Schizosaccharomyces pombe: one gene and its partners. Changing the gene in region 3 together with the main gene of any one other region gives a genetic interaction. Each region holds a gene or a part of one and is shown on either strand. Other genes may lie near its edges.

Region 1 (4,984 bases), 2.7 Mb from region 3:
ATCATTTCGGTGTACTCTCGAGTAATACCAGCTGTTGACTTCTTTACAGGCGGCTGCCCGACGACGATATGTGGGTCATCCTTGTCTACGTTTGGCTTCTTTACTCTTTTTCTTTTATTATACTTGCACGTTTCTGAGTACACTACACAATTCTGGCATTTTGGCAATTCGCCGTTACACCGAAGTTTTCTTTGCCTGCACAAGTCGCAAGCTGTGCTAATTTTTTTTATTGGTACCATTGTTTGCACATTTAAAAACTTCCAACAACACAGTCTTTTAGGCGTTTTTTTGGAATATTAAATTTTTTTGAAACTACTCGTACAGGGCACCTTGCAATATATACAATTTTGGAATTTTGTGCCATTGATAGTAAACAATGATTATCGCCGATCGATTTTTTCGCTTAATTTCGAGTATATTTCAATGACGCGAGCGCCATGATAATAAATGAACATTCCTTAAATGGGACAGATAACAAAATAATCAATCCAATTTATGGGTGAGAGAATTGTTCCTTACTGCTTGGTATCAATTTCAACCTGCCGTTCTTCATGTGATCTTACAAAAATCCATTAGTAACATAGCTTCATCATTATAAATACCATGGTAAACAGCCAAAAAATGATAATAAACAAGTCTAATCAAAAAGAATAAATGTGAATATTAATATAATGAATAGGATCAAAAGATAATGTTAGGATTTGGAGCTGAAAGCAATGGGAAGCAAAACTTTTGAATGCTACCAAATTATTCCGAACAACTACTTAAATGAAAAAATCTTTAACAATTGCTTGATATCAAACAACTTTCATTTTAGCTCGGAAATTCATTTTTAAAGGCATGAAATAAATATTGGAAGGAGCCATAATCATTCACATTTTTTGTACGTTAATTAATAACACTATGTTTCAATGTCCAGGCTTACTTATGTTAATTTAAATAAATGTGTTGAATCCCAGTTAATTGCCTAATGAGATTTCGACTTTGAGGCATTATTTACTACCATCCGAGGTTTTCAATCAGGTAGTTAAAAAAACATAAAACAAACATCAAAAGAGGTATATGATAATTAGAGTTACATATACTGTATCATTAGATACGTTGTCTCGAAAAAATGAGCTTAGTGTGGCACCAATCTTTTTTTCTTTTCTTGCAATTTACTAGACTCCACGCAGGTGGTCATTTTCAAATACTGTTTGTTTCTTTAGCTGGGCAATTTTTACCGGTAAAGTGCGCACATTTTCCTATCCAGCTCGTAAATATATTTCAAGCATTTTACTTCTCCTCTTTTGTTAACCACAGAGAATAGATAATTAATACACTTTCTTTTCTTATCTCTACAGAATCAAGTCGATCAGGTATACATTTTTACGACGAATCACTTTGAATATTATTTGTAGCAGAAAAACCATCGTCTATAAAATTTTGAAACTTCCTTTAATTGAACATCATAATTTTATAGTCCCGAAATATAACTACTATACATTAACCAACAAATGTTCTTCCCTATTTTTAAAGAAGGTATTTATAATAGCTCTTCCTTTTAAAGATGACTGCTTCACTGGCTTTGTATAGAATTTTTTTTTAAATTTGAATAGCGAAATGTACCATATTCGCAATGTCAATTATAGCACTATTAGGAATACGGAGTAATTATTTAACGCAATTTTGTATATGTACGTTGCAGATTATGTGTTTACTAAATGCCAAACGTAGAAAAATCCGTGGCTTTCAAATATCCTCTTTTTTAATCCATTATAGGCTGTTTTATTGCCTTTTGACCTATTTTAAAACAAAAAATCAATAATTTTCATCTAGAAACCACCAAAATATTACTTTTAAATTGTTTTTAATCACTTTAACGGGCTCGCTTTTAAAAAGCGATCAATTCAAGACCTTTGAGAATTATGCCGGAAGCATTAAATGAAAATGTTTCAGACACTGCATCAAATGGGCCTGTAGCAAAAACTAGAGCACCTCCTAATACTTCCTTTCGCCAACAAAGGATCAAGTCTTGGCAGCCATTGTTAACCCCTAAAATCGTGCTTCCACTTTTTTTTGTGTTAGGAATTATATTTGGTCCATTAGGAGGAGGATTACTTTATGCTAGCTCTATCGTACAAGAGCTAGTTGTTGATTATACGGATTGTGAGACTCTGGCTTCTTACGATGAATTCTCTGCCGTCCCTTCCAAAAAGTACACAGCTTCATTTGATCAATCAGGAACTATTGGATTTGACAAAGAATCAACCTACTGGAAACTGGAGAAAATTCTCGATAAAGATCTAGATATGGACGTTAACTACTGCATCATAAGATTCACAGTCCCATCTGTTTTAAAGGCGCCTATTTTCATATATTACCGTTTGACAAATTTTTTTCAAAATCATCGACGGTATGCTAAAAGTGTAGATGAAAAACAACTACAGGGAGTGGCTTTAACTGCTGACGAAGTTAAAGGAGGCAATTGTTTTCCTTTGGAAGTTAACGAAGATGACAAACCATATTATCCATGTGGTTTGATTGCAAATTCTCTTTTCAATGACACTTTTTCGTCACTGAGACTGCTGGATGATAATAGTGTTTACACTTTTTCTACCAAAAATATAGCTTGGGCTTCAGATAAAAGACGATTTTTGAAGACAAACTACAGTCCTGATGATGTTGCACCTCCTCCCAATTGGGTTTTGCGTTATCCTGATGGTTATACTGAATCAAACATGCCAGATTTGTCAACTATGGAAAATTTACAGGTTTGGATGCGTACAGCTGGTCTGCCTACTTTCAGTAAGTTGGCTATGCGGAACGATAACGACGATATTTTTCCAGGAACATACGAAATAAAAATTGGGTTGTTTTTTCCTGTTAAGAGCTTTGACGGTACCAAATCTCTGGTTCTTACGACGAGATCGGTGCTTGGAGGAAAGAATCCATTCCTTGGAATAGCTTACATTGTTGTCAGTGCTGTTTGTGTTGTGTTAGGTACCGTTTTTACATTAAGGCATTTTATCCGTCCAAGAAAGCTTGCCGATCATCGTTATTTAAATTGGGATTCTGAAGAAAATAATTTAGCACCCCATTTGAGTGATCGTCCTTAGGTTTGTCGCGATTGCCGACTATTTACAACTCTGGGTTGTAATTGCAAAATTAGTTTCCTCATAGTAGAAGGAGTTTTCTCTGTCTTCTTTTTTTTTCTACGCCTTCCGTTGTCTTTAGATTTCTTTTATTTATCAAAGGGTAGAACTATGTTGTTTTAGGTTTGATGATTACGATTGCTAATTCTGACATTCATATTACATCTTTTTGCTATACTCAATTTCATTAAAATATGACTTTTGAGGTATTTTGATGGACCCCTAATTTTCTTCATTACTGGCTTTTCAAAGGTAGTATGTGTTTTATATTTTGCTACTCAAATTAGTTTATTGTAACACACTAAATTTATCATTCAAAAGATCTTTGGAATGCCTTTACATGTACCATTCGTTTACATTTCATTCTTTTACGCTTTTCTCTTTAGTCTCATGAAACTGAGATACGGATTTTTTTTATCAATTAATAATTCGCATTATTAGCAGAATTTGTTACTGAAGTGTGCTAGCAGGTCATAACTGCTATTCTTTAGGATAAAATTGTTATGCGTGCTTACTTTGGAAACTCTATACCTGTTAATGATACTTTGGTTTAACATACTGATGAAAATATTACGCTGTTTGTAACAATCATAAATTTTTGCATTTTTCTTTTATACTAAACCGCTATTTGCTTTCCTCTGCTGCTCCATTTCTTGTCGTTCAAACCGTTTAAAGCCGTTGTTGACTATGACATTTGTATAATTAAAATTAAAAGCGTTGTAAAAAGGAAATGCTGGTGCGTAAAAGAATGCACTTGTGTATTGAAGTGTTGTGATTTGAGGACAGTCTACAATAGGTATGGCGATAAAAGTAAAGTAAATATCACTACTACCTGAATTTTGCAAGCTTATTGATATACGTGAATTGAACATTTATACCATGCCATACTGTATCATGTCAACAGGTCTAATTGGAATACTACGAAAAAAAATCATCTCTCGATATACAAAAGTCAGCACATGCTTGGCTGTATAGCGAGAACAAAAACAGAAAAAGACGATTTTGGTTATTCCTACAGACTATGCTAGCAATTAACTTATGGAGAAGTGTGTTCTTTAACCTTGCCCTACATGTAAAATATCCACTTGTAATTTAAAAAGATATTTCACAAAGTAAATTTTTCTTTTGACAATATTACAACCTTAGCTAATTTACTTTTTTTCTACCCATTGGATTTACTAATTTAAGAACGTGAGAAGCCATAAGTCAATATGGAATGAAGCAATATCTTATTGACAAGAAGTTTTCGTAGTTAACTTATTTGAGGAGTCTATTGAATACACACTGGGTTGACAATTAATTGCTCTATGTCAAATCGACTGGGGAATTAGCAATAACCATACTAATGTGATACAATGAAATGTAAATTTACAATTAAATAAAAGTACTTAATATTTCAAATATTAGCAACTAGCCGAAATTTTGGAATCATTAGCCAAAAAAAAAATTAACGCGCTTTAGCAAATGTTCTGGGTTGTAGATTTGCAGATAAGACACTCTAACGAGACTATAAGTTATCCAAGGCCGGTTATTTGATATTTAACATTTTCACTAACTTCAAACTGTCCTTTTAAAAATGGCGGGATTGGAATCAAAAGTTTCTGATATGAAAATAAAATCAGACGTTGTTTTTTATATAGACGAAGCTTCCGGTAATGATGAAACTGGCAACGGAAGTCAAACATCACCATTTAAAACTGCAATCCATGCTTTGGAAACTGATGCCAACTGTACGATCTTTGTCAAAAAAAATGGCAGTGAAGAGTTTGAGCCTATAACCACCAACGCTTTAAAGAAGGCGAAAAAGGGAGTTGAACAAGCCGCTAAGAAAAAGGCTAAGGCAGCTGAAG
Region 2 (3,795 bases), 2.8 Mb from region 3:
AAAATGTCTGTTACATTATTTACTGACTATGCTCTTTCGATTTTTGTTTTAAATTAGATTTTACTTGCCGGCGTCTTGCATAAAAAGGGAAACATAAAAATCCCAGATATGCAAAACTGAGAAAGTATAGAGCGAATTACACAAAGAAAAGCTGTAATAGTTATAACTATAACTTTCATAATAAGTATGTAATGACACACTTCATTTTTTATAAGTGTCTGACGTCGAATACTTTCCTAATCAAAAAATAGGAGAAAAACTAATATAGGTAAATACCAACATGAAACAAGTCATTTAAGAAATATTCATTAGAAACATTTGAAGATTAACTTCAGAGACACTGTCGGCATCCACATAGTCATCTAGAAGTCTGGAGTTGACAAGAGGTTTGCCTTTGTACATCAAACGGATAGAGGAAGGTTGCGTAGATAACTGAGATGCTAAAACTTCTTTAAGCTCCAAAATTGTAGACTGTACATTTATTTCAGTAGATGCTTGTTGAATGGGAGGTCGGACAGTTTTCGCAACAACATGAACTAGATTTTTAGTTAAAAGTAGTTATTTAAGCAGAATTTACCTTTCTTTTCCTCGAACAAAGCTAAATTTCCTTGAAACTCGACCAGTGGAGCAGGAATAGTGATCTATAAAACTATTAGTTTCAATAGCATATTTGTGAAACAAGAATCATTATTACGCACCGAAATAGCAGTTTCATCTATTTTTTCAATTGGAATACTATCAGGGTGATTCCTAGGGGTCTTTGAAAGCTCTTCTAGAAACGATTTAACAATTTGTACCTCGCTCATGGTGATGGTGGAATGTCAAGTTTACTCAAGCTAATTATCAAGTGTCCTAAAACCACTAAAGAGAAAATCTCGAAACAAATATCATACAAAATGCCATTAGTTCCAACTTTGACAAACAACACATCAAATCTGACGTTCAGTTTTTGATAATTATGTTACAATGCTGCTAACCGACAAATTTAAGAGTCCAAATCCTTGATGTAATAGCGCTCAAGTTCAACATAAAGTATTCTATAACTTCGTCTATTTCATGCCTTAAGCTTTACAACCTCGCGAACGTAGTTTACTCAGAATTGTCAAAAAGAATAATAATTATGATTTTAAAAATTTACTGTTAAATAAATTATTAAAGTCATAAGAAATCTTTGCATTGTTAATAAAGTTGCTGTTGCAAATACTATCCATACAAGTTTCTGAAAGTTAAGAGTTTAGTAGTTTTTAAATATTGTTTCCCTAAATGTTTTGCTTATCATTATAGCAAACAATAAAGCTAAATAGTTTAATTGTTCATTTCATGCTTTCATCTTATTTCATAGGCACATAAAGTATCTTTGCGTTTTACTTCGATTTTTTAAAAGAGGTTGTATTCCTTCATGTTTTTAGATAAGATTGCTATGGAGCAGTTTTAGAAAAGATGCGTATATAAAGACAGACAGATTAGAACTTAAGCAAGTAAAGTGTGAAGTAGTTGTATACTAATTAGAAAGATGATATAACCAACCTTACTAGAGCCATAATCTTTAATCAGCCCTGAAATCGTCTTGTTCGAATCATTTGTTTTTTAAAAGGATTGATTATTATTGTTTATTTCTCCTTAATATTTATCAAAAACTCCAAATCGCTGTATAGGTAGCATGGTATACATATATTCACTCAACCTACATTTCTAATCAATCACGCTTACAATGGCTTCTCACAATTATGAGACGCCACTCAAGAGCTCTTCCTTTCAACATTTAGTTGGTACACTTTCTCAGCGACGGCATTTTACCCCCTCTAGAAGCAGGTATACTCCACGTTCTGCTCAACGGACTGTTACTCCTCATAAACGGAGAGCTCTTGCACGCAGGAATAGTCTAGCAAGGAGAAGGAGCAATGTGTTTTCCGCAACAACTCCTAGAGACATTCTCAGAATGCTCAGTCGTGCGCTGGCAAAAAATCCAGTACCATCACCAGCTGAATCAGAATCCTCCGAGCGACGACATACTCCACAAACTAATAGTCAAAAGTCTCAAAAGACACCAAGATTGTCTTCGAATAAGCGTCGGACTTTAAAAAATGATGCTAAACAAAGGAATTCCCAATCTCCAGGTACCGACACTAGCGATGCAAATCTGACGATACAATCCATCGAAGCTCCAAGGCGTGCTCCACAGCGCCTTAGCGACTTTTTTACACCAGATGGAAGGCGTGTCAGTAATATTCGTGATTCTCTAATCTCAGAAAAACGATTAGAAAATAATATTGACCAAGTTCAAGAAAGCGCGTTAAGTACCGCTTCTAGTAATCGACTCATAGATTTAAAAAATGACGAAGTTCCTATTTTTCGCATTCCTTTAAGTGATTATGAAACAGATGACATGGATGACGGTACACCTCTCCAACGCCATGTTGCGACCCTGAACCAATATCAAAGTCCCATTTTTAATTTAGGCCCGGACATTTTAGAAGATGAACCATCTTACTCTTCAAGAGCTTCCAGATCCCGTCAATCATCTCTCTCTTCTCGATTATCTGAGTTACCTTCTAAACGCGCCAGCCTTGAGATTTTAAGGCGCGAAAATACTTTCCCAGCCGATCCAATTCAGGAATTTGGTGAAAAAGCATACAATGAAAGAGAATTGATGGAAGAAATCTCAAATTTTGAACCCTTACTAGATGATAACTTGCTTGAAAATGCCAACGAAGCTGTCAATTCCCCAGTAGTAGACGCACCAATGGATGCTGATTCTGCTTTAGAAATACCCAATGATGAAGATAATGGGGAAATTCTAAATAAACTAAAAGATTCTCCGTTTAAAAAACCTAAAAGAAGATATTCCAAATCTTCAACACTTGTGCTACCGGAAACAAATATTAGGAAGTTGGCTAATTCCTATTCACAGAAAAAAATTGCTGGATCAGTGATTGAAGAACTAACTACAGCTTCTGAACTCTTTTTCAAACAGATCGCGAATGACCTTTCGGCTTTTGCAGACCATGCTCATCGGAAAACAATTGACACGCAGGACGTGGTTTTACTTATGAAAAGACAAAGGAAAATAAGTGAGAAAAAATCCCTATCCTCTCTAATGCAGCAATATTTATCGCGTGAAATTGCACCTCCGGCAATTAAGAGAACCTAATGCGTACTTCTCCTTTACATTCATCCCTGTATATTAGAATTTTTTTCATCGTTTTACCTCTTTGGATGTTAAGATTTTTTATTAATAGTTAATTTAATGATTATTTATATTTATTGCTATTTTTATATTATTAATTAATTGTAAGGCACGTCTAGAAAATTTGTTTTCTTAGGAAATAGAATTATTTTCAAAATTTGCAACCTATGCAAGAACGCTTGATTCGATACACTTACAAGTTTGTTTAACAGCTTTTGATTATTTGTAATTTAGCCAACATTTATTTTCGTCCATTAGTTAAAATTACATGATCAAGTAAATAAATTTCATTATCTGCTAACTGCAAGAAACATTTATTTTTATAATTTTTTTTAGTATTTGAAAGATGAGTTTGCAGGGAACATCCGTAGTAGTGCTAATTACTCTCAGGTGTGTTATGTTGAATCTCTCATAAGCCATCAACGACTTTCATTCACGAGTGTCCTAAAGGTTTTTATATACCCGGGATTTTGTCGAAATAAAGCATTTATGAAATCCAACCTATCATTAAAACGGCAAGATGAAAAACGTGCCGACAAAGAGCCCAATTTGTACACATTGCAAGGTGTAATTCAATATTTACAGTACGAGGCTTTCAAGAATGAAAG
Region 3 (7,029 bases):
GATGAAGACTAACAGCGGGAAGAAATAGAAGTAAACAAATACTTCAAGGAATGTAATCATTATATGTGATTGATGATTTTCGAATTTTATGCACTAAAAGCATACGGAAAGTCAACATGCATGCAATATGTTTGGTACTAAATAAAGTGCGCTACGGCGTGGGTAGTAAATAAAGTCAATAGCAGAGTTAATGCAATTTTGAGTCGTTATTGGATTGAGATAACAATTTTCGGCTTTTAAGGGTTTTCAGCTTCTTTTATTGTAAAATAAATTGTGATAGAGATTTTTGTATTCACATGTAGTCGCCAAAATTGCTAATGACTATGACAAAACTTTGCAATCGGTGCATGAAAAACACCGCTTTAAATCTACTGGTAAAATACATTACACAATATGTAATCATTGAGTATAATTGAAAAACATAATTTCCATCGAAAAAAAAATAATTGTATTTGCTGTTAAATGTATTCGTAATCAGAGATGGGATTGGGATTGAAGCTAAAAACATATGTTGGAACAAAACCTATTGATATCAGTTGAGAAAAGACACTAGTAATAAATCCCCAAACTTATAAACTTCGTTCTTTCGAAAAAGAGTGTACACTATGAAGGAATCACAACATAACCTGTTTACTTTCATGTACACAACTGTAAAATCAGCAGCCAACTAGAAATATTGCTAGCTTATTTTAAAGCGCGAACGAGGGATTCCAAAACACTGACTCGAACCGCCGCCTCGGCAGCAACCCCCTCATCAGAAGAATTCATCTCAGCTTTGTGCTTTTCAAGAAGTTGATTTGCGACAGAAGAAGAAAAGTCTTCAAGTTTATAAGCTTCAGGAACGGTGATAGAAAGTTCATTAGAAGGCTGTTGTACCGCAAATCCTCCAGAAATGAAATATTTTGATTTGTTGCTGGATTCATCAGTAACAGAAATAACTCCTGGCTTAAGACACTGAATCATGGGAACATGATCTTTAAGGATACCCATCTCGCCATCTTCCGCAGGGATGTCGACCTGAGTTACAGGAACCTTCTCATAGATGGTTTGGTATGGCAATGCCATGGAAAGTACTAATTTTTCATTTTTCTGAACAGCTTGGGCATAACCACGAATTCCAAAAGGAGCACGTACTAAACCTTGAGGAAATTGTGATTTTCTCAGCATGTAATTTGATAAACGAAACATAATGTTGTTGTTCGGAGTATTGAGTGGGTTAAGGGGGGTGTGATGCTGCTTCGCTGACTGTGGGAATAACTATGCGGAAAAGTGAATGCTGTCAAATAGTTCTACGAGTAGTATTTTAAAGAAATTACGATTAACAAATATATTCTATACTTTTTTAAAAGTAAAAAAATTCTTCAAGTTGTACAATAAATGATTAAGTGATGTGCCAACAGTTTAAGTTCATGAATTTTAAAGCAACTCGTAAAGTACAGGAAAGTGGATAACTTTCTTAATTCCATAAAGATGAATGATTACATTAGAAAAATAGGCTTCTTCTTTTCCTCAAAAGTAAGTCATTCTTTGTATTATTAAATAACAAGTTGTTTATATACTACAATGTAAATCCGCGAAAAAATCACCAAGTTGAATCTTCCGGATATATTTATTTATTGAATGCTTTGTACAATGGCTAAGTTACTTGGTAATAATCTTTTGATTTGAATATATAGACATGTAGATACAGTTTACAACATTTACCTGATTTTGTAAATATAAAGCAAATATAAACATGTTTCAGTTTATTGGACAACGAATTACAAAGCAAACATAGCATCTGCACGTGTAGATTCATTACGAAGCCATTTGCTGAAGTGGTAATCGTGAGTAAGAAAATAAGAGAAGACCAATTTAGATGTCTGAGTAAACATAGTATATTTTATGCAATTCAGTAAACAAGAATATCTGAAAGAACTAACATTTTCTGCAAACAAGTGTAAAATCAACTATTTTTTTGGCATACTGGCTTGCATATCGCTAAATATAGCGGACCCCGAACTAACATTTATCCGTCTTTCCTCCTTCCACCAACTAGTAGTCATTTTTCAAAACAAAGATCCCTGCTTCGACGCTGGTCGTTTTTAAATTCCTAGGGATCTCCTTTTATCATTTGTTTTTACTCATCAATTTGAAGATTCAGCGAGGCAGATTTGATTATAAGGAGTTAGTTTAGAGGGGGAACTTAGGTTCATTAGGATCAACTACTTTTTCAACTTTTATCTTCTTTTATCGACCATTTTTCATTTCAAAATCTATACTGCCTGATTTAGATGGAAGTGGTTGAAGGAAGACGGAAGACGTGCCTTGACGTTGTTGATTCTCCATCTTCACGTCAAAAACAAACTATAGCTGTCTCGTTGGTAGATGGTAAAAACTATCCTACGCGATTTTTAAATAGTAGGACCATAGATAAATTGAAGCAAGAATTAAACACTTCTAATCTGTCGACTGGAGAAATGTCTACTAACGAAACCTTAAAAAATGCTCAAGAAGTTGCCGGTAAGCTTCTATCCGAAGAGAATGAAGATTCAATATCGGAACATTTCGATGAGTATTTAGGAGCTGATAAGCCTGGTATATCCTTTTTGACTCGTCTGAAAACTCTTGAAAGCTGGTTTCAATCCTTAAGTCTCCAAGATCGACTGACGACCTTACGGACTCTTTTGCATCACCTTCCTTCTCAAGAAATATCTACACTTCTGTCGTCTAGCCTTACGTCCTCTCCTTCAAACTCTGGCTTATCTTTAGACAAATCTCTCCCTTCGTCCCCTAAAGGTGACTCACCTTCCCTTTCAAGTTCACTTCCTTCATTGACCACAAAATCCAACTTGTCTGGAAATTTGAACATGGTGACTCCCGCGTCCACCCAGGGACCTGCATTTTCTTCAAAGCATGGCTTTTCTAACGCTCTTTCTACGGCTTCGCCAATTCCTGTTCGTACATCTTCAGTATCATCTACTTACCTCACGCAGGATCGTGAGGCATCTTCCAAAAATTGCCTTTCTAAGGCTTTAGCATTTTCCTCCATTGAGCCGCCTGCCTCTTCTGCTTCTACGAGTCCTCGGAATACTCCTACCCCTTCTAATAATGGGACTTCAATTAATGCTAATGTAACATCTTCTTTAACCAGCAATTCCACCGGCAAAACATCCAAGACCACTGATCTTTTAATAGCTGCATCTAAAAAGTCTTTACCGTCAAATTCAACACCATCAAAACCTAATACATCTTTTTTTGAAACTCCTCATAATAATATTTGGGATTCTCGTGATAGAGGAGCTTTTTCAGCTCCTCCTGCTCCTTTTTTTCCACTTGGATTTTCACCACATTTGAATGATGAGTCTTCTCGTTCGAGATGGAGTAATATATCTTATTCTCCGCCTCCACCACCACCTCCTCCTGAATTATTAAACCATTCTCCAAAGTCTCGCCCTTTAGGCGATAAGCCTTATCTGTTTTACCGTAATAACCAAATCGGACCTCGAACTCGAACTGAAGGAAGATCTAGCATTACAGAAGGTAAACCGTTTTTATCATCTTCCCTTCGTTTTGAGCACGTACCTTCTGCTAATGACCTAAATTCTGTAGTCAATGCTCGTGTTGAGAAATCAACTGGGCAACCATCGACGCCGTTGAATCGTCAACATTATTTCAACGAACTTCCACATTCGACTACTCCGGTTACATTACCCTCGTTGATTCATGGTTCTGAAATTGATAGGAGACGAAGTGGTTTTTGCTTGAACAATTTCAATTCAACTCCTCCCTTTCAGCCCTATCATTACGAAATTGGTTCTGGTTTACCTCAACAGATGCATGCTACCAATACGATTTTAACGAATCCTATAGATCCTAATTCTAATATCTCGACACCCGTAGGAATGCACCTTTGCACCCTTCCTTACACTTATCAACCGTTTAGTTCAGTTGAAAAAATAGAGACTCCACCCAATAATTCAAAGAACCAAACATACCGTAGAAGCTCACGGGGATCTAATAAAACCAGAAAATCGATTTCACATTCTAAAAACACAGACAAGCATGTTGGTAATGAGCTTCCGCAAGATATTCCGAGCTGGCTCAGAAGTTTGCGCCTACACAAGTATACCAATAATTTAAAGGATACGGATTGGGATGCTTTGGTTTCGTTAAGTGATCTCGATTTGCAAAATCGAGGCATCATGGCACTGGGTGCTCGTCGTAAACTGTTGAAAAGTTTTCAGGAAGTTGCACCGCTAGTATCTTCAAAAAAAATGAATGAAAATTTAAAAGCGGCGAAAAACCAAAGTTCGGAGTCTTTAACGAGCTTCAAAGGTCATACTGACTCGGAGGATCTTCCAAGTGGGAGCATGTCTAACGAAATAAGCTCGAATTCAACTAAACAGGATGTTTCTAGTTCATCAATGGACTGAGAGTTTTTTATCATTAACTAATGACACTGAACTAGATATTTTTGTTTCACATCTAGTGACACTTATCTTTACGCTATATTTGACAATACTTTTTTCATTGCTTGAGGATTTCTGTTGTTTATTTTAAGCCAAAAGGTGGACTAATCAAATATTAAAAGCTTAAACCAATTTTACAAACTGTCTTTGACATCGCTTTTGTAATATAAACATATAAGTGAATTTTAGTGATTTGAAATTATATTATTATGAGCACTTAACGGGCACACCATATAAAAAGCTGATTTGTTTTCTAGCCTTCGGTAAAAATCATTGATTTGCTTAACAATCTTAAATCCATGAGCAGTATACCATTTAATAACTGATTCGTTTGTTGTTTGTACATGAAGAGAAATTCTGTCTATATTATTGTTTATGGCAGTTTTTTTGACGTGATCAATTAATAAGCTTCCAATTCCCAGACATCTGTAAGGGGCAAGAACACATAAGACTGTTACGTAAAGTGAATTATCTTCTGCAACAAGGCTGCTAATGGCTCCAACGAATTTGTCTTCGAATGTTGCAATGCGGGCGTAATCTGGATTTTTGAGAACTAGGCGGTAGAATTTGTCACTATAAGAAGCCTCTAAAACGACACGAACGAGGCGTTTGAAATGGACTATATTGGATTCAGTAATCTCTCTTATAAAATACTTTGAAATAATTGTATTTGAATTATCACCTAAACTAGGCATTTTTTGTTGAGCCGATGTATTTGGTTTTGCCAACGTATCTGCAAACCCTTGAAATGAAGCTTCACGATCTTTACGTTCCGAAACTTCTGTAGTTGCGGAATTATTACTTTCGAAACCACCAACCTTTTGCTTGACCGCCTCGTCATTCTTTGATTTTCTATTTTTCAAAAGCCGATCAAAATTTTTGTCAACAGAAAACAAACCTTTAGTATCTGCACCACACTGGATGCATGTCGGTGTTTTACGATATCTAGTTATGGCACACTGTTCACAAAAATGGTGACCACAAGTGGTAGCAATAGGACTTCGGTAATCCTTTTTACAAATTAAACAGACGAAAGGTATATCCTCTTTTTTCTCATTTTTTACCATCCCTTCTTCCAATTTAGCTCCTTTTTTGTATTTTTCCTGGACTGAATCCCATTCTCTATCAAGTTGCCATCCAGCTTTGTAATCCTCTCGCATATGCAAAAATTTACAAGTATCTCCATAACCGCAATACCCAGTGAGCTTATAATCTTTACAAACATCGGGTTGGTAGTCAATAATTGTATTCATACGGACAGTAGAAGCATTGGAAGATAAAACTGGCCCTACTTGGCTTTTTTTCTCAAAATCTTTCCTTTTAGGCAAAAATCTAGAGTAATCGTTTTGTGACTGGAATAACTCAGTAGGAAGAGTAGACTGATTAGCTAACTTCGGAGAAGGTCGACCTAAAATGACCTCTCTCGTATCTTCGTTGATAGCCGAAACAGTTGTAGTATTAACGGACTCACCAGTAGCGCTTAGATTTGACTGATATTCAACATTTATATCTTTCAAAGCAGAGTTCTCGAATTGCTCGGATTCTCTTTGCAATCGATTTAAGCGAACGGTTTTTTTTCTTCCCGAAACAATTGGAATATTGTCCCGCATATCTTCATTTGATGATTCACTGCTGCCTCCAGAGTCATCATCTCGTTTGAATCCTTTTTTACGCTTCAGTCCTTGTCTGGGGCGATGTCTCCGACGGCTTTGAAAAATTGGAACAGCTAATTCGGTATTGATTTTTGAACCTGAAGCCTGATTGATATTTAAATTTTTTTGTTCCATTGGATGTATGGCAAAGATAATTTAATGACCAAGACACTTGAAAAATCAAATTCAAGATAGAAACGTCGTCAATTCTTCTTTAATTGAGACCCTATTTAAATTCCAAGATAGAACCACTATAATAGTTTAAACAATTAATAGTCACTAAAACAGTTCCCAAACAAGTGCTTCAAAAATTCTGATATCTAGTAGAATCAATATTAGCGCTTGCTGTTTGCTCAAAATTGTGAAACGTGTGTCCCCTTAAATAAATAAAATAAAACAACAAAAATAGAAGAAGTTTGTAGTGAAATGCAAATATATAAATTTTAGAAAGCTGCTAAGCTAAATACGTGGCCACCGAATCTGGGCTTTAGTAATATTCAGGTAGATATATTTTTTAATAATATATAGGTATTTATATTTACTTTTTAAGATTATATAGTATAACGAGGCACAAAACAAACGTTGAGTTCTATTAAGAATGTATAGTTCTCTTTTTGTGACAGTAATCAGTCTTAATAATTTAATTACTATAGTAATGACTAATATTTTCAATCTAAACATATATATACAGCCTTCAATGTAATACGTGTTTGCACAGCGTTCCCTTTAATTTATTGCTTAGCGGTACTTCATAAACACATCTAGAGATTTTTTCATATTTATTTTTATTTTATTTTATGGAGATTATGAGAAAAGGCTGAGATATGGGGGTGTTATTTTCAATTTAAACGTATAGAGCATTGCCATTTACTAGAAATTGTTAACATGAAGAGGCCGTTGCTACGACGATCTAATTTACATTCTTG

The links. A genetic interaction does not mean that the proteins touch.
Region 1: mutations in vts1 (region 3) and mug89 together harm fitness more than expected from each alone (negative genetic interaction), as found in Schizosaccharomyces pombe (one large-scale study listed by BioGRID).
Region 2: of vts1 (region 3) and cnp20, a mutation in one rescues a mutant of the other (synthetic rescue), as found in Schizosaccharomyces pombe (one large-scale study listed by BioGRID).

What each region holds. Positions count from the first base shown.
Region 1 is NC_003423.3:303,415-308,398, reverse strand, and holds mug89 (phospholipid-translocating ATPase complex Lem3 family subunit), read left to right. Parts: upstream 1-1,701; 5' UTR 1,702-1,907; coding exon 1,908-3,098; 3' UTR 3,099-4,484; downstream 4,485-4,984. Other genes in the region: SPOM_SPBC1773.12 (transcription factor), read right to left, coding at 1-239; asparagine--tRNA (Asn) ligase Nrs1, read left to right, coding at 4,711-4,984.
Region 2 is NC_003423.3:277,953-281,747, forward strand, and holds cnp20 (centromere receptor protein cnp20), read left to right. Parts: upstream 1-1,530; 5' UTR 1,531-1,711; coding exon 1,712-3,151; 3' UTR 3,152-3,295; downstream 3,296-3,795. Other genes in the region: SPOM_SPBC800.12C (ubiquitin family protein), read right to left, coding at 295-536, 578-641, 699-806; csc3 (WD repeat-containing protein), read left to right, coding at 3,677-3,795.
Region 3 is NC_003423.3:3,041,011-3,048,039, reverse strand, and holds vts1 (RNA hairpin-binding protein), read left to right. Parts: upstream 1-2,029; 5' UTR 2,030-2,273; coding exon 2,274-4,415; 3' UTR 4,416-4,636; coding exon of another isoform or gene 4,637-6,238; 3' UTR 6,239-6,400; downstream 6,401-7,029. Other genes in the region: gpi14 (pig-M family mannosyltransferase), read right to left, coding at 1-60; F1-ATPase delta subunit atp16, read right to left, coding at 685-1,188; zf-C3HC4 domain-containing and GCN5-like protein cwf24, read right to left, coding at 4,637-6,238.